Tamandua tetradactyla: one gene and its partners. The protein of the gene in region 3 purifies or fractionates together with the protein of the main gene of each other region. This does not show direct contact. Links are inferred from orthologs where the notes say so. Each region holds a gene or a part of one and is shown on either strand. Other genes may lie near its edges.

Region 1 (6,864 bases), on a different chromosome or scaffold from region 3:
TCAATAACTTTCATCTCTCTTTCCTACAGCACTCCGATTCAGAGAAAATATATAATACATTATTACACCCTCCCATAAGGTATAGATTCATTCTCCTCACATTTAACATCATTCATTCTCAAAACATTTATAAGAGGAAAAGGCAAGCTTAAAAACTGTTCCAAGTAAGGTCAGCTAAATAATTTGCAGGGTCCAAAGCAAAAACAAAACATGGGCCCCTTGTTCAAAAAGGAGGGAAAAAATGTCATTAAAAGTACTAAAATACGGAGTTTTTCCTTTCTTCAGTGGTATTGCTCAACTTGTAATGATGTCTTTAATTGGTTAATGTCATTTTAAAGTAAAAAAAAAAATAACATTTTAAATTACCAGTATTGTTTAAATTATGAGTAACTTCACCATTCACCTTTTTATTGTGTGATGCCAGTTTTAAATGCGGGTTATTAATCCAACGTGGGACCCTTATGAACACCCATAGAGCTGGTCCTGGTTCCAAGACTTTAGCCCCAGATAACCCAAATCGAGGCAGAGAGAAGGTCAAACCTTGAAATTCCTAATAAAGCAGTGATTTGCCAAAATTTTATCTTCAAAACAAGTGATAAATCAATGTATAAAAGCTACCATATTAATGAAAGGAGGCTCTTCCTTTTGCTATTTTAATCCTGCCTGCCTTACATTATTCTGTCTTTAACAAATGTGTGGTCCAAAAGACAACTAGCATTGGACTAGAGAATTATAAATTTAATAAAACGTCTAACTACTCAGAAAACCATGTTAGCTAAAATTAATGGTATATTAAAAGATGTTCTCTTTCACATTTTGTGCACCATTTTTTAAAGTCAAATGATGCTACATTTTTGACATCCAAGTACAGAATGAGTCCATACTGATCTATTACACATATGTAATATAAAATCCTGCAAATAAACTCAATTTTCAAACCAGAAATATTTACTATCCTGTTTTCTCCCCAAGTTAATCAACAATAAAGGGAGCAAATTAATATCCTTTACCACTGATTAACTGTGAATCTAAGCACCTACTAAGTACTGCAATAATTACAATTTGAGAATTCAATTATATAAACATTAAGTGCCAAAAAGTTGCAATCTTTACACATTTCCAGATTTATTAAGAATTACAAAAATGAATGCATTTAAAAGCTCTTCAAAAACAACTTTCAAAATCAGTAGAGATATTCAGGCATCCTGTTCCCTAGATAAGAAAGACAGCCAATAGAATTAGAGTACACCTAAAAAGCATTTTCTAAATTAGAATTTAATCAGATTAACAAAGGTGAAATTACATCGGAAAATATAAAAAACTAGACAAATGTAAGGTGCTAAATAAATATTCTGAGTAAGAAAAACGGCAAGAGTGGCCTAGAAAGATGAACAGCAAAGCACTAGTCATGTTAAATTTGAATTAAAGAATACCGTTATTTAAATAAGCAGTTAACATTTCATAGGTGGAAGGCAAAGCAAAGAGACTAATACATATCTAGTCGATTCACAGTAATGCTTTGCTCTTCTGTCCTTATTGCGTATAGTTATAACATAGATTTTTTTTTAAAGCAGCAACAGTTAGCCACTACACCATTAAACACTCTGGCAAAGATTACTTTGAAAATTGCCTTGCATTTTTATAACGTTTTATGGCTAGAGATTATTTTCACACGTATGACCTCATATAGTCCTCACTACCCTGTGATGTGGATACTACTGACTAGATTTCATAGATAAGGAAACCCAGACTCTGTAAGGGGTTTTCTTAGAATCACACGGTCGAACCCAGACCTTCTGATTCCAGGTTTCATGCCTCGAATTTCGCATAGTTTTATTTCAGGCAGAAATAGAATTTTTAAAGGAGCGAAACGGATTAGGGAAAAAATAATCATGGTACCTGCAGCTGTGTGCTGCAAAAAATGGCTGAATTATGCTTCTTTTCTCTCTCTCTCTCTCTCTCTCTCTGAAAAAAAATTAAATTTCAAACAATTTAAGTAAACTCAAAAGACAGATTAGGTACGGGCGTCTACCAAATGTTTTTAGACTCAGGTCTGTGAGGATCTGGGTGAGACTCCGCAGAGGCCACCGAATCCGTGCCTAGCACGGGACCGCGAACGAAGCTCGTGCTCCCCACCCCCCCACCCCGGCCGGCCGTGCAGGGGCGGGTACGCACCTCGGGGGTCCTGTCCAGCCTCTACTGGACGGCAGCAAGCATCAGGAAGAAACGGGACGCTCGGTAGATGGTCGGAGCTCCGGGATGGCACAAGGCAGGCTCCTCGCACCTCTACAAGGAGCCGCTCCCGGGTTGGACCCGGGCGCTCCCGCGAGGGGCGAGTCTGCGCGCCTGCGGCCCCCTCGGAACCAGTCCTGGGAAAGAAGACAGCGCTGAGTCGCAAGTCGAACCGGTCGGACTCGGCGAGAGGCGGCGCGGCGTCGGGGCCGGGCCCAGCCTCGCCAACGCCGAGGGCCTAGCAGGGCTCGGAGGGAGGGCTGAGTCGGGGTTGCGGGCGGAGGAGAGGGTTGGGGGGTCGGGGGCAGCGGCTGAAGCAAGACGGTGGCGGCGTCGACGACGGCGTCTCCAAGCGTCTGCTCCGAAGCGCGCCGAGCCTCACGATCACCCACGCCGGGGGTGGAGGAAGGCGGGAAAGGGGCGGGCAAGGGGCGGGGCGTGTGAGGCCACGAGCCAGGGGCCGCTCCAGGCCGCGCGCCCCCTGCGGGCCACGGGAGCCGCCCGAGGGAGGCGGGGCCGTCCAAGAGGGGGCTCTGTGCTCTGTCCTCGCGTCGCGGAAGTCCGCCACGCGGGGAGGGCGGAGGCTAGGCTGGGAACCGGGGAGGGGTGGTGGCGAGTGGGCAGGGGTGGCGCCTTCGGCCCCCGCCGGCGCCTCCAGGGGGCCCAGGCGCTGAGCGCGGGCGCGGGGGCCGCAGCCCAGCGGGTGTTTACCTTGCCCCTGGTCGAGCGCCAGTACCGCCATCTTTCAGCCCAGCGCCGGCTGGGCTCACGTCACTTCCGGCGCCGCGGGAGCGGGAGCCGGGTTGGGGGAGGGCTGTCCCGCGCCCGCGGCGTCCCGCGCGGTCCGGCCCGCCAAGTCCCGGCTAGTGGCCCGCCCAGACGGCGGTCCCCAGCCGAGGAAATTAGGCGGGCCAGGGCTGCAGCCGCGGGCCCAGCCCGGTGCCTTGCCGTCGTCGCGGCCCCGCCGTCGGGGCAAAGGATGCTCGGCTGGGCTCGTGCCCTGGCAGCGGTCTCTGGCCGCCTGCACGAGCGATGGGCCGAGCCACTGCGGTGCGCCCCGCCCGCAACCAAGTGAGAGTTGGGAAGCTTGGAAAATGTCTGTCTGCATCTTCGACACGGAGGGGGTTGGGGAACCGGGGACAACGTGGAGGGAGCTTTACAAATAACTGCGTTATTAAAGTGACTACATCTGCGCGAAATGACATCATTTTTGTAAGGCAACTTGCAGTGGATTGTTGCGTCATAGGTTCACTTAGTTTATTACACGACAATTACACGTTTCCGACATACATTTCCCAGAGGTGGGAAAATTCATAGAAAATGGCATGTCTGCACCACACAGAAATGCCGGATCTAAAAAAGCTGCTCGGTATCTATTTGCGTCAGAATAAGATGGCAAGAACATTCAGAGGACAGTGATGTTTTCAACCAATCAGCTATCGAATTCTGGTTAATGCTTTCTGAATATCACATTTTCCTGATCTAGAAATATAAAATTACAGCATAGAACTGTTTTTCAATGTATGATTGTGAAATCCCTGTGGAAAAAGAGGCGATAACAAAAATAAACAGTTGGAGGCCGGTGGTCCTGCAAATTAGCCTTAAATTAGGGTATCCATTGCCTGTTAGTGATCCTAAACTGAGGTATCATAGTATTTCTGTTTCCCCCACCCTCAGCCCCCGCCGCCATTTTCTCATCAGACCACTATCCAGATGAACTTTCAATGAGATGTGAAGCTAAAAGCAATCATCTCTTTCTAGCAAACTTTAACATGCCATGTTTCCCAAGAGGCTAAAATAGCACACTGTGTACTGTTTTGCTGAAGTAGACTACTTACTTCGTGGGAAAAATAAAGAGGAGCACCTTAATCGTTTGGAAAACTGGAAAGTAAAATCTCCGATTTAAACCATAAAATAAGCCTTTAGAAAAAAACCACCACTGTAAACCATACAGTAAACTTAAAAATTGTATACTTTGTGGACATTTGAATTTTCACACCTTCATCTTGGACGTTAAAATAAAGCGTTGAATTTTTACTCTTTGTAAATTAGTTTTTGACAGAAATACATATTGAGCTATGCATGACATAGTGTGTCATTGACCTAATAGAAGAGATGCTTCTGTTCCTAATTCAAGTAGGAGCTGCGAAGGATGATTGTGGTCCTTGGAGCAAGTTTAAGGATACCGAGTGATGCCATGAGCCATGGTGGTCAGTGTGTACCCCTTATTATGACATTACATACATGGCATTACACTGTGACTTAAAATGCGCTTTATTTTTTTATTAATTAAAAAAATAACAAAACATTTAGAAATCATTCCATTCTACATGTACAATCAGTAATTCTTAATATCATCATATAGTTGAAAATGCTCTTTATTTTGAAACTTGACTGTTTTCTGAAACTGGGATGTGTCTTACAATCAATCTCTACATTTAAAATGTACAGACCACCACTCCCCAAAAGCTATCCTTAAATCAATGATGCTGCTCACACTCTCATTTGAAAGAAAAAGTGTTTTGCAGAAGGGTGTCGTACGTAGGACAGACCAAGAATAGTAAAACCATATCATTTAAATAAACCCTTCTAGGTATTTCCTGTCTCCAATCACTTTCCCCACCAATTTCCGGAAAGCAGTGGGGGCTCCTAAATACTTTAAGTACATCCTTTCACACTGGTAGAGCCCCACCGAACAGATGGAAGCTATCTTTCCCTAGCCCTCTAGCCTAAGTATTTGAGAATACACATTCCTCAAATCCACTATCTATTCAGCAGCAGTGGCTATCCAGAGGCATACTCTAAGTTAAGCACTGGGAGTGGTAGTGATGGAGGAAGGGTCTTATCAGAGATACTGAGGATTATAGGATACCGTATGTTCCCTCCCATTTCCTTTTTTTTTCTTAAAAAAACGGAAGTTGAGGCTTTTCAGAAATCCACAATATGTGGTAGTTACCTTGATAATTCCTTTTCATGAAACTAGCCCCAATCTCTGGGCACCAAAGAGTAATATCTTCAGCAAACTCCTGTTCCCTATCACAGACCGTGTAACCTCAGAGTCCCCAATTTTCCAGCCTTTTAAGTTCATGTTCTAACAGCCAAATAGAATAACTTGAGCCCTTCTGTTGTATGACTAACGGTAAATTGGTACCTTCATGAATGTTAGAGGATTCCTGGCTAATGCTTACACATCTTGGTCATCGCTGGTCACTTCTCCCTTGGAATGCCTCCTCTTGGCTTCTCTCCTATTGCCTCTGGCCTTCGGGTTTGTCAACATCTCTCCACATTTCTCCAGCCCATCTACTTCTTCCCTGTTCATGAACGTGACTCTCCTTCCAGTTCCTTAGCGAAAGCAAAAAACTAAAGCTATCACCAGGCAACTCTGATGCAGAACAGAAAAGCAACTCTTTAAACAGGTCATGGTTCTAGAGGTCCCTACATAGGGATTTCTGTACTGTCCATCGCTAAATCATGTTTGTAGTCCTATTGGTAGAAACCCCCTCTTAGGCATATCAGTTGTTTCTCTCATCTCTTCTCTTCCCCAATCCCGTGAGCCCAAAACCCAACTCTCTGGTCCAGGTGGGAGAAATCAAAATCCCTAAACATCCAAAAAGAATGAGAGTACACACACACAGGAAAACCTTCAAGTGGTACCCCCCTCCCACACACACACACACACACACACACACACACACACACACACACACACACAAAACAGAATGTGTCTGAAGTATTTACATTCGTATTATTTCACCAAAATGGGGAGCTACCTCAAGGAAAATTAATTGATAACTTGACATATCTACATGACTAAGAGGACTGAACAACGTGATTCCTCCTGGAAAGAAGCTTCTCAACACGATTCCCTTCCACCCTTAAAGCCTTAGCAAACAAATATCCACTGGCAGTTATTAGAATAACTGCTTTCCTTCTGATGCCTGCCAGTCATTGAGGATCCAGAACCATTCAGGTTTGGTCTCAGAGCCCCTCCCCCACATCCCTCAATGCATTATGGCAACATGGGTTGCCATTGTGAGTGAGCACAAAAGAGGGGACCTAACCTAGGCCAATTCAAGGAAGGCTTCTCAGGGGTGGTGACCTCTAAGTTCAGTCCAAAGGGAAAGAGAGGGGGAAAGGAGGAGAGTAAAGGGTACCCGCAGAGCAGTGCATTGCAGGCCAGGGAGAGGCAGCAAGGGACATTTAGAGAACTGCTCATAATTCAGTAGGATCGCAGTATAGAATTGCAGGGTAGGACAAAAGGAGGGGAGAGGGAAGAGAAACAAAAGATCAGGAAGGCTGCTGAGCGTAGACTGTGCCAGCTAGTGCTTCCATTGCCTCTCATCTTGTGTTCTTTACCCTGTACCATATTATTATGCTGATTAACATATTAAATGATCTTTACACCGTCCCATTTTAATTTATACTTAATTCCATAAATTATTCATTTTAAATCTACTGCGCTGGTTTACTTATTCATTCCATCAGCATCTATGAGTTCCCACTATGTGCCAAGTCCTCTTCTAAGCCCTGGGGAGCTATCAGTGAAAAAACACAAAAATCCTTGCCCTCTTAGAGATTGCATTCTGGTGAGGGGGGAGTCAGGCTATAAACAAAATAAATAAGCAAATGACA
Region 2 (6,992 bases), on a different chromosome or scaffold from region 3:
TCTCTCTTTCTTTTTTTGCCTGTGTGGGCCTCTGCACCCACTCTACCAATACAAAAGATGTTTTATGCAGAATTTAAGTTGATTGAAAATTAAAATAAAACAAAAACTAAGAGAATAACACTCAGCCTAAAAGGTTGCAGGTAATGGCATTAGATACAGACCTCTGGGAGGCAAGGGGCACAAAGAAGTGACAGCTGGCTCAAAGGCTATCTCAGTACAAAATCCTTGAAGATGGTCCCTTGTGAACAGACTTCTGACTTACAACTGGGGGGGACTGCCACTCACCTTGACTTTGGCAGCCAGGGTGACAACTGATAGGTGCCGAAGCTTATTCTTCTGAGCTTCTGTGAGTGGGGGAAGATTCCGGGCTTCAGCTAGGGAAAAAGGACAAAGCGCAGAAAATCTTGACTTTAGTTTTGTGGGAAGCCCTAACCCCCTACCCGATTTTTCTCTTTTTTGTCTTCCATGCCAATCCAGGTCTTGACTCTGACCCTGCGCACTTAGGGGATCCAACTAAGGTATCCCAGGAATTTCTCTCAATTAAGTCCCTCTGGAAAGTTTCCTTCTCCCAACTCCACTCCTTCAAAGTTTCAACCCCACCGGTTACCTAGGTAGTCAGCGTATGTCCCATAAGCAAACACTGTGAGTAGCCGGAAAGTGGATGCAAAGTCGCTCTCAGCCAGCTGCAAGAATATGAGGGAAAAGAGGTGACAGGGAGGGCTTCCCTCTGCTCCCTCCCACCCTTGCCCTGTTTTGACCTCTATTCCTTGGCCCCATCTTTCTCCTGCAACGTGACTTCACCCAGCTTACCAACAGAAATTCTCTGCCTCTCTGACCACTGTCCCCACAGGGAGAACTCATTTCTATCTCCAGGCCTTTGTTTATGCTATTCCCCCAATTTACAATGTCTTCTCATCCATAAACCCTCACCCCCCCCACCAAAAAAAAAAATCACAAAGTGCTCTGATAGAAACACAAATCAGACATTACAAACTATACTGATAGGTCTTCAGACTATGTTTAATATTTCTGAATATGAGTATCTTTAGACAGTCTGCTGTACTCCCCAACTGACCACAGACTCATGCCTCCACCACACTCATCCAATGGCTATATGGCCAAGGCAGACACTTGAGTTTGTTGCCTGTGCTTCAGACCCACCTCAGCCAGAAGTTTGCATCACCCAGGCCAACTCACCCAGATCTCTACCTTCTCCTAACAGTGATCACCCATCCTGGAACTTAATCAATCTCTGCCTAAGGTTGTTACCTAAAGAATACCTTTCTTTTCAACAAGTCTATGGATGTGGTTTCTCACTCGGGATCTAGCAAAGGTAGGCATGTAGATAGCTCTCTCAGCAAATAGTTGTTAACTGAATGATTTATAGGTTTATATTCATTCATCTTATATCTTCAACTGGAATGTAAGCTTCAAATGGGTAAGTACCATGTCTCATACTTTTCTGGTGTTTCCAGACTACCAGCAGAGTTGTCTCTCTTAAATAGGCACCTAATAATGCTTATTTTTCTTCACACTGATTCTCTTTTGTTCTACTACAAAGGAAAGCAACCACAATTTTCCCTGTACCACAGAGTAATGCCCAAAGACTAAGAAATTTTTATATTTAGACATTTTTATTTCTAAGTATTTCATTTGGAACAGGAAACCTGTGTTCCAGCCTATCTTCTCAAGCGTAATAGCTCTTAATCATCATGTCATTTTGATCAGGTCAGCTTCATTTTAGGGGCTCAGTTTTCTCTTTTGAAAATGGTTATGATATTGTTATTGTAGGAACCCAGTGGGATTATGGATAAGTGTAAATGGAAGGAATGAACTTGTTAAACTAGCAGGCCCTGTCCTCCTTCCTTTGTGCCATATGCTAATTTATTTAAAGCAGATAAGGTAGAAAGTGACCCCTCCCCCAAAGACTTGTGGAAAGCTTCTGGAAACAGCAGAGAGAACTTAGAAATAATGACCAGGTTTTACAGAGCCTTCATCTTCAAAGGAAACTAAGAAGTTCACTTGCTTATTTTCTTTTGTGCCAGTTAGTCACAGTATTCTTATTCAATTGAATGGTTTTAGGGTTGCAAAATGAACCCTTGTCCTTCCATCTCAAATTGAAACTTAGCCCCAAGCTTCCCTGTGGACTTTTCAGGCCAAAAACCCACCTCTCTAACATTGGGCATATCCAGCAGTTCCCCAAACACGTAGACACCAGGGGCCTCCAGCACCTGGTGGATCAGTGTGGCCAGTGCTGCCCCCTTGGCTGACTTGGCCAGGAGTAAAAATTGCTCCTGGTTCTGCCCTGTCACCTTCACCTCTGCACTCATGGCCGCACTGTGCTGGGGGTATCTGGGTTCAGGATGTCCGGAGCTGCAAGGAAAGAGGATGTGAAGCTGGCATCCGTGAACGATGGCAGGATGGGAAGCAAAAGGGGGAGGAGCTGGATATCTGAGGCACTGAGTCACCACTACAATGTGAAATCAGAGATTAACTGGTCTAGAACTCGGATCTAGAAATCCAAAAACCGCCCAATCTGACCACAGCATGGCTGAGACAGGGATGCCAGGTCCACCCTCTTTCCCGACCCCCTGGGTCTAACCCCAAGCGCCACCACACGCACCCCACTGAGCCCCAAGACACAGGATACAGTGGGGGAAGGGGTGTCACATGATGCCCACCCCAACGACGACGAACTCCCTCAGTCTTCCCCTCGTGCCCCGCACGTGCCCCCGATCATGTGACCTCTCCCCCACACTCCTTACACGTGGCTCCGCCCCCTCCCTTAAAGAGGCCGCTCAGAGACCGTAGGCTTCCGCCGACTGCCCGGTCGTACCCTAGGTCACACTCTGCGGGTCACTACCTGGAAGCTCCGTCTTCCAAGTGCATCGGGCGGGGCCGCCGCACCGTCACCTCCGGCAGCTGTTCTGCGCCTTTCCTGCCACCTCCCTCCAGGGTCGCTCTAGCTGCTAAACTCTATGGCCTTCTTCCGGCCGTACTTCCGCTCTAAGGACGCGGGTATCTGGCGAGACAAACTCGGTCCCAGCCTCCTCACTACTGAAGCTCGCGTGAGGGACGCAGGAATCCTACTCTTTGATTGGCTGCTGGAGAAAGACTGACGGGTGTCTTTTTTTTCTGCTCTGATTCAATAAAACTTTATTGGTGGGAGAGCGTCTGACGCTAATCGCAGACGGAACTATTGGCCCCAGGCGCGTCCGAGTTGGCTTTGTGTGAGTTGTAAACAGCCCGAGACCTAGAGACCCAGGCTTCCCCGGATGCTGGACGCGAGACGGCAGTTGTAATGGCAGGAAAGAGGGAGAAGGAGGAAAAAAAAATGGGGGAGGCGGAACGAAAAGGATAGAGGAAGGAGTAATAATAATAGAACATTAGCGACAGAGGTAACCTAGATAGTTCAACCACTCATTTTTTGAGAATCAGGAGAAAAGAAGAATAGCTAACATATATTGAGTGCTTACTGTTGGTCAGGTGTTTAAAACATTTTTATCCCAGTGAATCCTTAAAACTGTTCTGCCTCCCCAATCTAATGCCAGGACGCCCTCTACCGCGACTGCAGCATGTACTTGTGGAGTGATGCTGTCTATAAATTGACCTCTTATTATTACTATTATTATTTCCGGGGGAGGAAAAAGCCCTAGGTTGGAGGAAGGCATATGTTTTATTATTCTGATTTTACAGATAAGGAAATTGAGCTCATCAGAACTCATGGGTTTGACTGGAACCCAGATCTTTTCAAACCCAAAGCTGTCTTTTCTGTCACCTGTTACTTTAGAGAGAGAGAAGGAAAAAAAAAAAACCCTAATATTTCTATAGTGTTTTATGTTTCATTTTAGGTCTGCAGAAGGTCAAATGAGAAGAAAATTAGCGGCCTGTTGGAGGCTTTTGTGCCAAGCACTGGGCTGAGACCTTTACGTAACTCACTTGATCTTTACAACAATCTAGTGATTATCTCCATTTTCCAGATGGAAAAACTGAGGCCCAGAGAACTTAATGAACTTGTAAGTAATGGAAAGAAGACTAAGGGGAAGAAAAAAAAAGAAATTAAGAGAAAGACATAGGGCTAGTAGACTGTTAGAGCTGAAAGGACTTCAAGCTCAGTGTTTATGGTTTACACCCTTTAGTTCATGATAGAAGAATGAGAACCAGGCGTAGGGGAAGGAGAAACAGCAGAGGGGAAGGGAGGAATGCACAAGGAGGAGAATGGAAGAGATGAAACATAATAGTGAGGGGAAGGTCAAGGCATAGTAAAATATTCAAAGTACAAAGAAACCAATCTTAATTATTTTAAAGAGGGAAACAAAAAAATATATAAGAAGAAAGAATGAGAAAAGAACGAACATTTGTTCTATTATGTGCCAGGTGCTTTATTTGTTCAATTTTCTCCTCAGTCTTTACAGTGACTCTTTGAGGTGCATATTAATATCTCATTTAATCTGTGAGGACACTGAGGATCACGGAAGTTAAGTAATTTGTTGAAGGTCACCAGGATTGGTGGAGCTAAGATCAATCCAAACATAAGTTTATCTGATTCTAGCCTGTTCTAAGAAAGGGAGGAAAGAAAACTAGCTGTTTCCTTAAAGCAAATCATGCCATCTTGTGGTATCTCTTCTGTTTCTGCAAAGTGAGAGATTAGATGATGGAATCTCAAAGCCAATTCTGATTCAGATGTTTCATATTTCTGTGAGAGAAAGAGGAGTGAGTGGAAAAAAACGAGAGAATAATTGGTTGAGTAGGGAAAGAGGAGACTTCAGAGAAAAAAAAGGAGGGAAGAAGACTAAAGAAGTCGGGTTAGAAAGAACAGAGAAAAGAGGATGAGTAAGGTTGAAATAGAAAAGAGAAAGGAATAGAAGTGGGGAAAGAGGGAACAATGGGAAGAAAAAGTTCTCCAAAGGGAGGATGGGAGCTAAGTAAACATGTGAAGCTCAGAATGTACATTCATTCACATGTTTTTTTTTTTACTAAGCAATGGTTATGTACAAGGCAATGGACCAGGTACTGTGTTCTTAATGGTAATGATAGAGAGTAAGATGTGCAGAAATAAAACTAGAAAAGTTGACGGGCATGCAACTGGTCAGACATAATAAAATATTCATTGTTGATTCAAAAGGTATATATTGAGTACCTGTTGTTTTCAGGCATTGTTCTACCTACTGAAGACACAGAGAAAATCCATGCCTTCTTGGTATTTACATTCTTGTGGCTGGACTCAGGCCCATAAGTAAATAAATATATAAAAGAAAAACAAAATCAAGCTAAGGGGGTAAGGGATGCAGAAGTTTGCTAATTTATATAAATATACCTGATAAGGTAATACTGGAGCAGAAACGTGAAATCTTTAAGGGAGCAAGTCATATGGATTTCTGTGGGAAGGTATTCCAGACAACACAATCTACAAGTCCAAAGGCCCTTTGGACTTGTAGATTGGTGGGAACATGCTCGAAGAGTTTGAGGAACAGCAAGGTGGTCTGGAACTGAATGAGTTAAGAGAGAGAAGTAGGTTATCCTTGCAGAGGATAACTAAGCCTACTTAAAATTAGGCCTAAGAGTCACCCCCAGAGAACCTCTTTTGTTGCTCAGATGTGGCCCATCTCTCAGCCAACACAGCAAACAAACTCACTGCCCTTCCCATCTCTATGTGGGACATGACTCCCAGGGGTGTAAATCTCCCTGGCAGTATGGAACAGAAATCCTAGCATGAGCTGGGACTCGGTGTCAAGGGATTGAGAAAACCTCGACTGAAAGGGGGAAAAGAGAAATGAAGCAAAAATAAAGAGTCAGTGGCTGAGAGATTTCAAATAGAGTCGAGAGGTTATCCTGTAGGTAATTCTTACGCATTATATAGATAACCCCTTTTTAGTCTAAGGTATATTAGAGAGGCTAGAGGGAAGTGCCTGAAACTGTAGAGCTGTGTTCCAGTAGCCATGTTTCTTTAAGATGATTGTATAATGATATAGCTTTTGCAAAGTTGACTGTGTGATTGTGAAAGCCTTGTTCTGATGCTCCTTTTATCTACAGTATGGACAGATGAGTAAAAAAAAATGGATTAAAAATAAATAAATAATGGGGGGAACAAATGTTGAAATGAATTTGAGTGGAGGGAAATACTGGTAGTCGATGAGAGGGAGGGGTGAGGGGTATGGCATGCATGAGTTTTTTTCTTTTTTCTTTTTCTGGAGTGACATAAATGTTCTGAGAAATGATCATAGTGATGAGTATACAACTGTGTGATGATTTTGTGAGCCACTGAGTGCACAGCAAGTATGGAATGCTCATACATTAAGGATGTTCGTGTTGTATGTTGATTGGTTTTATTAATAAAAATTAAAAAAGAGAGAGAAGCAGGGATGAGGACAGAAAGATTAACAGGGTGTAAAGGTGTAACAGGGTAACCAGACTATGTCAGGCCTTTTAGGCCATTAGAAAGACTATGGCTCTTACTCCAAGTGAAATGGGCATGCAGTAGAGGATTTGAGCAGAGAAGTGACATGATCTGACCCACGTGTTTAATATATTATGATGGATACATAGAAGCAATGAGAGCACTTAGGAGGCTATTGCAGTGATCCAGGCAAGAGATAGATGTTGGTGGCCTGAACCAAGGTGGTAGCAGTAGAGGTGGAGAGAAGTGATTGGATTCTGGATTTAATTTGAAGATAGAGTGAACAGAATTTGTATATGGATTAGGTGTGAAATGACAAAGGAAAAGAAAAGTCAAGGATGACACTATACAAGCAAGCTGCACCAACTTTCTAAGTGCAGCTCATTTTAATTTTAACTTTTCCAGATAATAGGAAAAGAAAAAAACACTCCTCAGCTCTTTTTCAGCCAGAATTACTTTGATAACAAAACCAGGAAGGAACACCACTAGAAAGAAAATTACAGACCAATCTCACTCATTAATGGAGATACCAAAATCTTCAGTAAAATGTCAGCAAATCAAGGAACGAGGTGGAATTGCAGAAACAAGAAAAAGA
Region 3 (7,006 bases):
CCTGTTTGCCATGTGCCCTTCCAGCTGAGAGAGAAGCCCGAAGCCTTGGGCCTTCACAATTGAGAGAGAAATCCTGAAGTTCATCGGCCTTCCTGAACCAAGGTATCTTTCCCTGGATGCCTTTGATTGGACATTTCTATAGACTTGTTTCAATTGGGACATTTTCTCGGCCTTAGAGCTGTAAACTAGCAACTTATTAAATTCCCGTTTTAAAAGCCATTCTGTTTCTGGTATACTGCATTCTGGCAGCCAGCAAACTAGAGCAGGGAGGAAAGAGGTAAACCAGGACAGCGTTTCTCACTTCCCATCCATCCACAGATCTCTCCATCTAATGAAAGTTTCTCAATCTTTTTCTCCTATTAGATGAAATCCACATGAGCAACTTATCATAGGGACACAAATCCCCCTAAACATGTCTAAGAAGTAAATACTGTGTCGCTGCAGGGAGACCAAAAGGGTGGGGGTCAGAGAGGAAGTAAGTTTATAAAAGCTTTTCGAAGTCTATTAAGCAACTATTAATGGCAAGTACAGATGACAGTCGCAAAAATTACATAGACTATGGGTTTTGTAAAATTGCCGAAACACTTGCTCAAATATCTTTCTCTTTCACTCCAGAAAGCATATCAGAATGTAAGTCAGAGTGATGTTAAAATATCTGAAATCTGTCAAATTCGTAATCAACTGCATTTGTCTAAAGGTTGATTTGATAAAAATTGTACTGAAAGCACACCTGTTCCTTCCCAGAGATTACTAGTGCTGCAAGAGACCCAAATTTCATCCTCGGGAGCATTTCAGCATATATTTACCACCAGAAAGACAGCATCCTCCTAGCCAGGAGAATGATATACAGTTAAGAAAGCAACATCTTACTGGTTTCCCCCAGGATTCCTTTTTTTTTTTTCTTTTTTGGTAACGTATACAAAACATAAGTTCCACTTTAATAACTTTCAATATACAATCAGTAGTATTAATTATATTAATGTGGATCCCATCACACCACCCATTACCTAAAACTTTCCAGGATTCCTTTTTGCTTGTAGACAGGACATGCCAGTACGTTTATAAATAAAACCTCCTCAGAATAACTGGCTTTTGCAAACTCTTCTTGATCGTTATTAGGTGTATGGAAACTATGAGGTTTTCTTTAAAATTTAGTCTCTCTAGACATTCAAGCTACCTTCTCAATCCTATAATCTTTGGAGCAAGACTCTCAAAAGATGCACTATTGCTAACATTGCTAACGTTTACTGAAAACTGGATTGAAATCTCAGAAAGTACCCTAAATTGAAGCAATTAGAAATAAAAGGTTCTAGTTCAAGAAGCCAGGCAATTACAGGAACAGAACAGAATAACAAAAGCACCTTCTTCATTCATCTGTGGTGAAGATTAAATAAATTATAACTTGCGAAGCAAAGCTCCGGGAAGAGCGCGGGGCGCACAAGCCCTCAACAAACGTTAACCATTAACCAGCACTACGGGAAAGGAAAGGCGCCGCCAAAGGCTAGGTAGAGCTGTGGAGGCCGGGTCCCCCAAGAAGGAAGGAGTGCAGGAAGGAGGACCCCGTGCGTCTAGGACACCGGGCTGGCTTCCTCCCTACGAAGCTTCGATGCGTTGTCAGGCAACAGAGTCACCATAACACCCGTGGCGGCCGCCGGGAAACCGAGACCGCCGCATGCGTGCACCGCCCCAGCCCGGCAACCGCCACAAACCCGCCCGCAGGGTTGACCCCCCAGCCCGGCAGCCATGAGACCCCTGCCCGCAGGGAACCTCCGGTCACCTAACTCCTCCAGCCCTGCAGCCGAGGGACCCAGTCCGCAGGGAACCCCATACATCGACACTTGCACTGCCCGCATCCGGTTACCCCTGTCGGCAGACAGCTTCCACCCACAGGACCCGTGTACCGCCCCCAACCCCAGCCGTCAGACCCCAGTCCGCAAAGAACCCCACCCGCGTAACCCTTGCACTGACCCAGGCTCGGCTGCCACAGGGACTCTCCCTTACCCCCTCCCCGGGTCCATGAAACCCAATCCCCGCCCCGGGGCCGCGAATCCAGCCCTGATCCCCTTACTCCCGGGCCACACCCTGTCGGGCCCTATCCCCACCCCGTGCTGGCGGACTCTCACCCAAGAGGATAAACTCCGTTTGGGGTCCTCACAATGTTCCAACTAGGAGCTTTCGTGTCCAGGAACGGAGGCGGCAGTCGCTCGGCGCCGGAGAACAGTGACAGGCCGCTGGCCCGGCTCCGCCTCTCTGGCGGAGATCTCCGCCCGCCTTCACCAACGGCCGGGTGCGGCCCCGCCCCACTGCCGTCGCGGCCGATAGATCACGCGGCCGGGAGCGCCCTCTGCAGCCGGGAGGCCGCACAGCTGCACAGCTGCACAAGGGCACCCCCGCCCCGGGGCCCGCAGGCGGCGCCTGCAGCCCAGCCGGAGACAGTCCGCCCCGGGGCTGTTAAACCGTGGGATCCACTTCCCAGGTTAGATTCCAGCCCCTCCAGCCTCTCAGGCACCGGCTAGCTCAAGAACTGGGTCAAAGCTAGGAGAAAAAAAAAAAGGTAAGGGGAAGCCGTGAAAGGAAAACTGTGTACATACTTCTGGGCATTGCTCTTAGCCCAGCAATCTAGTCTAATTATGTCCTGGGTTTTTAATACCATTTCAACAGGTTATTCATTTCACCCCAATACTGAATAGCCATAGCTATCTTTGGGGGGAGGGGAGGAGGCAGAGGATTTCTAGCTTCCTAAGAATGTGGAACTAAGGGTCCTTTCCTAAATTACTTTGTGTCTTTAAATGCAGATTTTCTTCGGTTGGAAGTCAATGTCAAAACAGCAGGTGACTGAGTGTGAATTTGATCCTTCCAGTGTTTTTTAAGTATATGCCAGGCACCATACTAGGAGTGGAGGCTACAATACAGTGTTTTGCACTCAAGCTTACGGTGGAAATAAAATCTTCAAGTAAACAAATATGTTATTACAATGCAATGTAATACAGTCATAGAAGCACGTACAGAGACTGAGACAACATGGAAGAAATGATTACTAGAGAGAGGAGGGAGTCAAGAAAGGTTTCACAGTGGAGATCTCCGAGCTGTATTTTAAAAATTAATAAGAACTCTCTGGCAGAAAAGTTGAGGAAGAGAATTTCAGGAATTGCTAATCGCATATGCAGTCAAAATAAATATACTGCAGGAAGAGCAAATATTCAGGAGCGACTAAAGAGAGAAATGAAGCTGGGGAGACGCGAAGGGACCAGATTATGATGAGCTTTGACACTACTCAATTTTGTTCAGCAAAAAATTTATTAAACATCTACTCTGCTAGGTGTTAGGGACAAAACAAGACAGATCTGGTCCCTGCGTCTTAGAATTTTGAATCCAGCGGGAGTGTTGGCGGAGGCTGACCCAAACAAGTAAACTAACAAATGAAATAAACATTTTATTGTTAGAAACCTAAAGGTTGCTGAGATGTAATCCCTCGGGGTCAGGGGTAGTTTCACAGAATGATGTTGAAGATTTTATAGTAACTTATTATAAAAACTGAATACCAAGAAAATAAAATTAAATTTAAAAAGCAAAAACTGGGTATAGACACTTCAGGACAGTAACTAGCTCAAAACATATAAATACAGCTGTTAGATTTTACAAATATGCAAGAGGTATTTCGCAGTCCGCGTATCTCCAAAGCCGCCCCGAACGCAGAAAACGCCGATCTGAAGGCGCTGAGCCAAACTGCCGCCAACTCCCTTACATTTACGCACGCGCAGTGAGTTGTCTAGCAGGAAAATGGGATGCCATTTGTATCTTCCTTCTCACTGCCATCCCGAACTACTTATATCTCAATTTCTCCACAGGCACCCTGATTTTAAGCTTTCAACGAACCTATCTTATTTGAGGTCCCTTACACCCAGACAAAAACTACTACTTTCCCCATCATAGCCTGAGACTCTATCCATTTTAAATATGGCGGAGGCCGAGCCTGCGCAGTACAAACAAAGAAGGCTAATTCCAGATTCTGACAAACCGTTAACGTGCCCTTCTTCCGGTGCAGAAGGTCGTACCATTCTCATACCCAATTACCTTGTTTGGCCTAATTCACATGTATAATTCTCAGGACAGGATGTTTTCATTTCAGCCGCAAGAAGATTCCTCTTTCCCTAGGTCTTCCTGTTACTTCTGTTTATATCGTCACTCCTCAGAAGTACCCCTGTCATCTCCGAATGGTCTGTACCACCTTCACCTCCGGTTCTAGGTGTCATGGCTGCTTTAAGAGTCCTGTAAGAGTTTGCACCGGTGGTGGGGAGGGTCCGAAGCCCACACCCGGAGGCCTAACGGGTAAAGTTGCGTTAGGTTGTGGCGGGGACAGCTTCAACTCATCGGCTATGGCAGCGTCCGGGAGCGGCATGGCCCAGAAAACCTGGGAATTGGCCAACAACATGCAGGAAGCCCAGAGTATCGATGAAATCTACAAATACGATAAGAAACAGCAACAGGAAATCCTGGCGGCGAAGCCCTGGACTAAGGAGTGAGGAGGTCCCTGGCGAGACGCAGGGGAGGGAAGGGGTGGCGGGAGTTTAAGAGGCTTGGGGGAGTGGGAGTTGAAGAATGTGGAGAGCTTGGCACTGTCTTTTCCTGGGCTAGGAAGGAGAGGAGTATGAGAGATTTTGTCTGCCTTTACCTCCGCAACTAGAACCCAAATCCCTCTCTGAGGGTCTGCGGCGACTCCTAAATTCTGTCTCCTTAATCCATTTGCCTACAGGAGATGAAAGGGAGTAAAGAAGTGGCGGTGATAGGGGTTATCATCTCTCAACATCCGTATTGTCATTAATGCCGCACACTCTGCCTTGAAGCACGAGGGGATCTACACTATGGCTGGTCCTTCAGCTAATCCTGGACTGGGGACTGCAGTCGTCTTCAGGACTCTCAGATAGCAATAAGCCATCTTTTAGAGATGTATAAAAAAAAGATGTAAAAAAAAGACTACCAGTCTTTTAACTGCTGGTAGTTATGTCATGGACATACAGAGGCTTTATCCAGTCTCCCAAAATAATGGTACACCACTTCAGATAAGCCAAAAATTATATTAATAGAGCTTAAGGCTCTTTGCCCCTTAGCAAAATATTTCTTTCCCTGGAAACGATGACAAGTCTAGAGTTCTTTTCATCATAACATTTATTCTTTACTGAGAACAGACTTTGTTAGAGAAAGTAAAAAGAGCACGGGAAGGCACTGTCTGATGGAGAGGAAGAAAGACAGGAACACCAACAGAAACCATATTTTATCTGCTCAGAGTTTTAGACAAGCTGACTTTAACTGCCAGAATTCAGATTCAGCAATGTTTATTGAGAACTTAATACTGGAATACCATATAATCTTTTCCTGACAGTCTTGTACTGTATTTTCATTCCTTTTTTGCAATTATAAAACAGGCAAATACATGAAAGGCACACCTCATGATTGCACTGAGGCAGTGAACTTTTAAATAAGCAATAGACCTAAGATCAATTCTCCCAGCTGTCACTAACTGTGTGATTGACCTTGCGTCCCCATTTTTTTGTCTCTGAAATGGAGATAAGACTTACCTCTTGTGGATGTCAGACAGATTAGATGAGATTTTGGTATTAAAAGGGTTTAGAATGCATGTAATAGGATCACAATAGTTGTATCTTCTTTTCTTTTCCCCAGTAAATAGAGGAGCCAAAATTTTAATTCATGTGCCTGAATCCTAAGACCAAATCTTCATATTTTTCAGCTTGTAACTGAAATCTGTCAAAACTTGATAATTAAGCCTGGATGCTTTTAGATGACCTGTGAGATGTCATCTAAAAATGACTTTTCATAGAATTTGGCCATTCTATACAGACTGTTTAGGTTGCCTTGTTATTTGCTTACTACTTATAGTAGACTATGCATTTAATGTTGATGTAGTCTACTGATTATTTACTTTATTTAGTCCTGACAACAACCTTATGAAATATTCCTATTTACAGAAAAGCAAGCTAAAGAACAGACATTAAGTGGTTGTCCTGAGGCCATAGTTAGTAAGTGGCAGTGCCAGGATTCAAACATAGTCGGATATCAGAGCCCATGTTCTCAACCATTAGGACAGAAGGCTGATCCTGAGAATAGTTGGTTAGACACAACCATTCTGCCAGAGTCAAAATCAGAGACTCAGTAATGCTGAAATTAATAGAGAAAAAGTCTATTAAGCTGATCTCTTTTTCACTTGAATAACATAGTTAAAAATTCTTTCAGACTTTGCCTCCCCTAAGTGGAAATAACTGTTCAGAACTATGACATGTTTATTATTTTTGGCACCCTGCAGGAACTCTGTCCTATCCTATTTTTTCTTTCCCCAAATTTACACTCTGTCTCCCCTTCCATCACTGTAAATTCCTTCAATATATAGTCCTTCACTTCACCAAAAAAAATACCTTTTGAAATTGTTCTTTATATAAATTTAATTACACCATGTTTTTGTCTTGTAGTCACCATTACTTTAAGTACTGCAAAATCTCAGCATTGGCTCTACTGAAAATGGTGATGCATGCCAGATCAGGAGGAAACCTGGAAGTAATGGGTTTAATGCTAGGAAAGGTGGATGGTGAGACCATGATCATTATGGACAGTTTTGCTTTGCCTGTGGAGGGCACTGAAACTCGAGTTAATGCTCAGGCTGCTGCATATGAATACATGGCTGCGTATATAGAGAATGCCAAACAGGTAAAACCATTGTTTCTTAAAGTTCATAACCAGAAGTTTCAAGGTGACTTTTGACTTTCCAAACCTAAAACTGTTCTCTTTACGCTGAAGTTCATAATTAAGTTTTTTGCAACAATTTCTTAATGTATAGGAGATTAAAAATTTGGAATTTTTTCATTCAGATTCTCTCACTACCAGATGTGTGTTTAAAATGAAAAGTTTGGATGGAAACAACTTAAATGTTCCTGACTATAAAACTGGTTAAATAAATTATGATACATCTATACAATGGTTTTTCTAGCCTGCCTTT
Region 4 (7,324 bases), on a different chromosome or scaffold from region 3:
ATTTACCTTAGTCCTAACCAGATCAGCTTCATTCACATCTCTAATTGAAGTCTGTTCTCTTTTTCAGCTTCTTTAACAATTGCTGCATGGAGTAATATTGACACTCAAAGCTGCAGAACTCCAATTCTGAGTCCCAGGTGTCATACAGTGCCAAAGTTCTGGGGCACTTCCAGATTATACACGAAGAACACAGCATCTCAGAATTTAGAGATAATAGGAAAACTCAGGAATAAATGTGACCACTGTAATAGCTTATAATCCAGGAAGCTTTATAATGAGCCTTATTGAACATTCAGTACTCCTTAATCATCCATTGCCTAATCTCTGCCCACTTTCTATCTCCAGGTAACCTATCTTCTTGAATTCAATTCTCAGAGTTTGCTTAGTAAATTCTTATTAGTGAGGACCCACAATATCTGTCCTTTCATTTCTGGCTTATTTTGCTCAACATAATGTCCTTAAGATTCGTTCATCTCAGATTCCTAGCTTTTTAAAAATTATTTTAGAGATATTTTGACACAACGTACAGTCGATCCAAAGTATACAATCAGTGGCTCACAGTATCATCACATAGTTGTGTATTCATCACCACAATCATTTTTAGAACATTTGCATCACTCCAGAAAAAGAAATAAAAAGAAAAACTCTATACATCTCATACCCCTTATCCTTCCCTCTCATTGATCACTAGTTTGTACTCTATCCAATTTCTTTTTATCCCTTATTCACCTCCCATTATTTATTTGTTTTTTGTCTATATTTTTTACTCATCTGTCCATACCCTGGATAAAGGTATAAAGGGAACATCAGCCACAAGGTTTTCATAATCACATGGTCACACTGTAAAAGCCATACGTAAAAAACACACTGTTCTACAATTGTCATCAAGAGTCAAGGCTAGGGTAATATAACTTATGTAGATAGCTTGGTTGAACAACATAAGTACATGGAATCTTGGGTAGGACATGAGATTTTGTTGGTTTGTCCAGAGTGATGCCCTGATGAATCCCCAAGTGATTTGATCAGTGAGCAGAAAAGTATTTGCAAAGCCCCTTTTGGGGAATGGTGAGAATGGGGGAAAATTCAACCTCCCCAAGTTGAATTCTTGATATTCTCACAAGCAGTGTGGACAACCAAAGCTATAGGCTGAGCCCCCAGTCTTGGGGTTTTTTCACATGAAACTTAAACCCACAAAGGATAGGTCAAGCCTACTTAAAATTAGGCCTAAGAGTCACCCCCAAGAGAACCTCTTTTGTTGCTCAGATGTGGTCTCTCTCTCCAGCCAACACAACAAGCAAAGTCACCACCCTCCCCCTGTCTACATGGGACACTCCCAGGGGTGTGGACCCTCCTGGCAACATGGGACAGAAATCCGAGAATAAGCTGAGACTCAGCATCAAGGGATTGAGAAAAACCGTAGAATGAGCTGAGACCCAGCATCAAGGGATTGAGAAAATCCTCTCAACCAAAAGGGGGAAGAGTGAAATGAGACAAAGTGTCAATGGCTGAGAGATTCCAGAGTTGAGAGGTTATCCTGGAGGTTATTCTTATGCATTAAGTAGATATCACCTTGTTATCCAAGAGGAAATGGAGAGGCTGGAGGGAACTGCCTGAAAATGTAGACCTGTGTTCCAGTAGCCATGTTTCTTGATGATGATTGTATAATGATATAGCTCTCACAGTGTGACTGTGTGATTGTGAAAACCTTGTGTCTTATGCTCCTTTTATCTACCTTGTCAACAGATGAGTAAAACATATGGAATAAAAATAAATAATAGGGGGAACAAACGTTAAAATAAATTTAGTTTGAAATGCTAGTGATCAATGAAAGGGAGGAGTAAGGGGTATGGTGTGTATGGTTTTTTTTTTTCTGTTTTCGTTTTATTTTTCTGTTGTCTTTTTATTTCTTTTTCTGAATTGATGCAAATGTTCTAAGAAATGATCATGATGCTGAATATGCAACTATGTGATGATATTGTGATTTACTGATTATATATATAGAATGGAATGATCACATATTAAGAATGTTTGTGTTTCTTTCCTGTAATTTTTTTAAAAAAATTAATTAAAAAATTAAAAAAAAAAAAAGAGTCAAGGCTAGGGGGTACAAGGGTAGTTCAGTGGTAGAATTCTTGCCTGCCATGCAGGAGACCAGGGTTCAATTCCTGGCCCATGCACTTCCAAAACAAATAAAACAGCAAACAAACAAAGAACAAAACCAACCTAAGAAACAAAAAAATTCAACAAATGGTGCTGCAATAAGGGGACACTCACATGGAAAAAGAATGAATTGTGACCCCCTCCATACAGCATACAAAACAGAAAAAAGAAAAAAAGAATCAAGACTACTGGAACGCTGTTTCAGGTATTATAAGGAATTATAGCTCTTCTAATACACTAAAAATTAAAAAGGGATATCTATATAATACATAACAATATCCTCCAGAATAACTTTTCACTCTATTTGAAATCTCTCAGCCACTGAAACTTTATCTTGTCTCATTTCTCTCTTCCCCCTTCCCCTTTTGGTCAAGAAGTCTTTCTCAATCCCATGATGTCAGGTCTCAGATCAACCCCGGGAGTCATGTCCCACATTGCTAGGGAGATTTACACTCCTGGGAGTCATGTCTCACCTAGGGGAGAGGCAGTGCGTTCATCTACTGAGTTGGGGATTCCTAGGTTTTTGACCTGAGCAATTGGATGGATGGTAATGCTTTAAAATGAGATGTGGAAACTTAGGAGATGGGAAGAAGCAGATTTGCATGAAGGAAAGGTGTGGAAATGACAGAGAAGAGAACCAAATATTCTATTTTGCCTACTGTCTAAGGTAAAAAACACTGAATAAGTAAGGAAATTGATTTTATTCAGGCTACTGCACTAGGGAAAGCACCCAGATTCAAGGATCAGAGTGCCTCGGTAGGGTGGTTTTGCCTTACACTTTAATATGGAGGAGTAGGCATGTTATAGGTATAAAATTCCATTTTACTAATGGAATTGCAATGGGGGGAGTATAGTGTCAGCCAGTCAACTGAACAAGCATGTGCCACCACCCACACGCCTGGTAAACTGTTTTCTACTTTTTGACTATGAATTTGCTCATTCTATTTCACATCAGTAGAATCATATCTTTTTGTGTGTGGATTATTTCACTCAACATGATGAATGCCTGGGGGCAGTGAGGAGGAAAAGAGGCTTTTTTTTTTACTTTTAAAATCCCCCAACATTTAATTATAAAAAATTATTTTAAAAAACCAAACAAAAACTGTAGAAAAAATTGACCTTTAAGTGTCCTCCTCATGTTACCATTCTGCTACGACGTTACAGGTATAGAGGCTCTGAATTGTTGTTCTGCCACTTAGTAAATGTTCAGTTTTAATCAGGTTCTCTCTATTAACTCATTTGGTGTAAATGCGATATTAACAAGACTTGTAAATGACCTTTCTGCTTCTATTCATGCACAGTACTCAGGATGGTAAGACGGGAGTTGATGGTGTCATTACTCTGTTCAAAACCCAGCAATGATTCCCCATCTCACCCAGAAGAACAGCCAGTTCTTCCAGTTTCCTACAAGTTCCTATATGCTCTTAGTCCTTAATTTGCTTTCTCTGTTCTGGACACTTTAATTTGTTCCCTGTACAGTCTGGACAACCTTCCACCTCAGGTATATTCCTCTGCTTTTCCCTATGGAATGCTTTCTCACATTTCGCATGGCCAGCTCCCTCAACTCCTTTAAGTGGTTGCTCAATTGCCGACTTCTCAGGGAGAACTACATGGACTACTACACTTAAAATTGCAAGTTTCATCCCTTTTCTAGGCTTTACTTCATAACTCTCACTTCTTTTTAACATATTAATGTATTAATGAATACTGTTTGTAAACATGCATAATACAATACCACGTATACTGAAGGTTCTTTATATAAAATTAACATACTGCTCCCCTGGCCAGTAGTTTGTGATCTGAGCGGATAGAGCTTGGGGGCTTATATTTTCGAATTTTCTAGGTCAATGTGTCGTGATGAAATCCAAGATTAATGCTCATTCCCTCAACAATCTTTTTCACAATAAAAGTGTGCCAGGCACTCTTGAATAAAGCAATAGCTATCACTTTTGTGCATTTATTCATGCATTCATGTATTCAACAAATATTTACTGAGCTCCTTCTACGTGCCAGTCCTTAATGAAGACAGTTCTAAGCATTTCAAGATCCTGTATTCCCCTTTAGGTATGAAAAAAAAGGTCGGATCTCGCCAGCAGAGGGCGTTGCTCCCGTCCTCTCCGCTGCCTCCTGGTCTTCCGATGCTCCCAGGCTCGCTCCCGAGCGCGCACCCGCCCGCCGCATCACGTGATGTGGCCGCGGACCCGACCTGCCAGGCCTAAGCAGCGCTAAATTGGTTGACGGTGGCTGCTGTTGGTGCAATCTTAAAGGCTAATTCGAAGGAGTGGGGCAGGCTCGAGGAGTCGATGCGTCCTCCTTCACTTCAGGTCGGCTCCCGTCACTTTCTCCCCATTTGCCTTTCCGGCCTCCCCGAGTGTTTGCATGAACTCTTCCGTGTGGGGAAGCTCCGGTGACCATGTAGGGGTAAAAAGTGAAGCAGCCCTCGGTGCTTGGGACGAGGTCAGGTCTCAGCACGCCACCCCCGCGCCCACCACACCCCGGGTTCGGGCCCAAGGGCCTATCGATCCCTGGTGGAAACTCCGGCCTCCTGTTGTGGCCTGGTCGGGAGCGCCACGAAATCCCGCGTCGTCTCGCGAGAATTTAAGTTGAAGGAACATGGCGACGTCTAATCTGTTAAAGGTAAGACCTTACTCCATTCTGGGGTTTATTCCGTGACCACCAAATTCATCTCTTTGGAAAAGGCTTGGTTCTGGTTCAGCAGCGAAACGTGGAGCATTCTGGGGTTGTTCACCGGAAGGGAGGCAGCGACGGTTGCCGCAGAGAAGCGGAGCACTGGTCTTTGGCCTTGGGGTCGAGAGGCTCTGGTTGTCTCCCCCGCCGGCAGCCGGCAGAGTGAAAGCCCCGCCGCAGGGCTAGCGGAGAGCGATGCTTTCAGAGGACCAGCTCTGGCCGGATGGAACGGGTGAATGGGCGAGTTGTGCTCTAACGGATTGGGCCTTTAGTACTTTGGGGGGCGGGGGGCGGGGGTCTTAGTTTCTGTCGAAGCCAGAGTCTAAGACGGTCTCAGTTTTTTCGAAGCGAGAGTACGAGACACATAAAAGGAAAATCCAAGAAATTACCGCCTAACAGGTTTCAACTACTTGACCCCTATTTCCCCAATTTCTGTTCTGCATGAAATTTCAAGTCAGACCTAACAGTGTTTCCCATCCCAACCCCTTCCTCCCTTTTCTGCACGCTACACCTTCCCTCCTACTTCACCCCCTCCCAATTTTTGAGTTCATATTATTCCTGTTTTTCCTTAAGAAACTGCTTCCCACTCCCACTCCCACTCCATTGCAGCACCTAACCAGGTGAAAACTGATGAAGTGTCACTTCAGGGCTTAGGGAAGTTACCTTATCAAAGAAAACATTTGAAGATGCTTTTCTATATTTGAATAGCAAGGGAAATCTAGGCCGAAACCTCTACCATCAGTTAAAAAGTTTGGAGGAGAATTAGGTAGACATGGCCCCAGTCTTGTTCTGGGTGTTTGTGGTAGGAACCTTTTACCTTAAAAATATTGATTGGAATGGGGGTAGTGATCAGCTTAGGGAAAATAAATACAATGAATCGTCTCTTCTTCACTCAGACATATCATCATGCCTGCAGGCAGTTTTGATGCATAATAGAACATATTAAAATATACTATAACTTCACCATCATGTTCCAGTCTACTTAACTGCCTACTAGGTGGGATTGTCTGATAAAATGAAGATGTCATTTTACTAATTTAAGAGGCAGTATATCTTTTTTTTTAAAAAAGGGTAAGGGTCTGGAGCTACACTGCTTGAATATCTGTCACTTAAATCTGTGACTTTGGACAAGTTTCTTAATCTCTCTGTGCCTGAGTTTTTCTCATTTCCATACCTGTAAGAAAGTTCACAAGTCTCCTCATCTAAACTCAGCCTATACCTTGCTTCGCCTCAAACTTCTGCCGTTTTCTCTCTTTCCATTCATCATCACAGGTCTTGGAAAAGCAACCCCCTCTTGCTGCCATTATAATTCTTTGCCTCTTTCCTTAACTTGCTGTAACTTGGCTCCCACTCAAGCCCCCGTTATATTGAAGCTGTTGGTCTTAAAAGCACTAGAAATCTCCTGATTACCAGATTAGATTTTTCTCTGATCCAGTCATCCTTCATTTGTACTGGTGACTACTTCTGCTTCTTTTTTTTTGGTTTTTATGACGTTATTCTTTACTTGTTCTACTGTCTCTCAAATCCCTTGTGTTTTTCCCTGCCCTGCTTTGTGTGTCCCTTGCCCACTTATAATTATTTTTCAGGATTTGATCTTCAACCCTTTCTGTTTGTGCTTTTTTCCTGGGACGATCTTAACTCCCATGATTTCACTATTTTTATCTCTTAACTCTTATCTTAGTTTTAGAGTGAACACAGTTATGACCATATCACTTTCCTGCTCATAACTTTTGATGGTTTAAATTCTTTGAGATCTTTACAGCTTGGTCTTCTTCTCACTAATAACTAATTCTTATTTTCTCTCTTACACACACACACACACACACACACACACAACTATCAGGATAGTTACTTGTTGGTTCTCTAGCTTGCCCAGGTCTTAATGATTTTTTTATCTTTGCTGTTTCTTCTGCCAGGAATGCTCCTCACCGCTCCAGTGTTTGCCTGTTAAAATCCAATTTATCTATCAAGACCATCCCAGATACCTCAGCTAGAATGGTTACCTACTCTGCACAACCGTAGCGCTGTATCAGTCTCTTCTAGCACTTATGTTGTGCCTTATTTATTAGCGGTAGGATCTGTTTACATACCTAAATCCCTTTCCAGAGTGTAAACGCTATTAGTGCAGGGACTTGATTTTATCCATCTGTTGATGTCTTTCTACACAGACTGTTGTCACTCATGGTAGGTGCTCTGTAAATGAGAAGTAAATGATTAAAAAGACAAGTCTAGTGCAATAATGTACCTAGATGCTTAGTGGATGGGTATCGATTGGTTAAAAGACTTTTTAAATTTAATTCTCTTTCCAATTAGATACAGAAAAGGGGAGAGAGAAAAGGAGGGGGATGTAAAACCAACCCATCAAGAGAATCCTAGACTTTTCAACTGCAATTTAAAGCTCATTACTTTTCTCAGTGGAAAAGTTTTTATCCTTTGAGAGGAAAGGATGGACACAAAGAAACAATTCAAATTGTCT

What was found.
Region 1: the proteins of COPS5 (region 3) and KLHL15 purify together in Homo sapiens (affinity purification with mass spectrometry; 3 studies listed by BioGRID and IntAct, with this or other methods). This does not show direct contact. The link is inferred for Tamandua tetradactyla from reciprocal best matches to the Homo sapiens genes COPS5 and KLHL15.
Region 2: the proteins of COPS5 (region 3) and COPS7A purify together in Homo sapiens (affinity purification with mass spectrometry; 19 studies listed by BioGRID and IntAct, counting the BioPlex papers as one, with this or other methods). This does not show direct contact. The link is inferred for Tamandua tetradactyla from reciprocal best matches to the Homo sapiens genes COPS5 and COPS7A.
Region 4: the proteins of COPS5 (region 3) and CUL5 purify together in Homo sapiens (affinity purification with western blotting; 6 studies listed by BioGRID and IntAct, with this or other methods). This does not show direct contact. The link is inferred for Tamandua tetradactyla from reciprocal best matches to the Homo sapiens genes COPS5 and CUL5.

Annotation. Positions count from the first base shown.
Region 1 is NC_135353.1:150,252,097-150,258,960, reverse strand, and holds the start of KLHL15 (kelch-like protein 15), read right to left. Parts: upstream 3,009-6,864; 5' UTR 2,944-3,008; intron 2,594-2,943; exon of another isoform or gene 2,370-2,593; 5' UTR 2,176-2,369; intron 1,966-2,175; 5' UTR 1,900-1,965; intron 1-1,899. UniProt on the Homo sapiens protein: Substrate-specific adapter for CUL3 E3 ubiquitin-protein ligase complex.
Region 2 is NC_135333.1:69,009,214-69,016,205, reverse strand, and holds the start of COPS7A (COP9 signalosome complex subunit 7a), read right to left. Parts: upstream 3,002-6,992; 5' UTR 2,890-3,001; coding exon 2,864-2,889; exon of another isoform or gene 2,766-2,863; intron 2,754-2,765; exon of another isoform or gene 2,624-2,753; intron 2,374-2,623; coding exon 2,169-2,373; intron 684-2,168; coding exon 608-683; intron 375-607; coding exon 286-374; intron 1-285.
Region 3 is NC_135332.1:110,682,550-110,689,555, reverse strand, and holds the start of COPS5 (COP9 signalosome complex subunit 5), read left to right. Parts: upstream 1-4,005; 5' UTR 4,006-4,214; coding exon 4,215-4,519; intron 4,520-6,482; coding exon 6,483-6,717; intron 6,718-7,006. UniProt on the Homo sapiens protein: Probable protease subunit of the COP9 signalosome complex (CSN), a complex involved in various cellular and developmental processes.
Region 4 is NC_135334.1:33,919,295-33,926,618, reverse strand, and holds the start of CUL5 (cullin-5), read left to right. Parts: upstream 1-4,320; 5' UTR 4,321-4,773; coding exon 4,774-4,797; intron 4,798-7,324. UniProt on the Homo sapiens protein: Core component of multiple cullin-5-RING E3 ubiquitin-protein ligase complexes (ECS complexes, also named CRL5 complexes), which mediate the ubiquitination and subsequent proteasomal degradation of target proteins.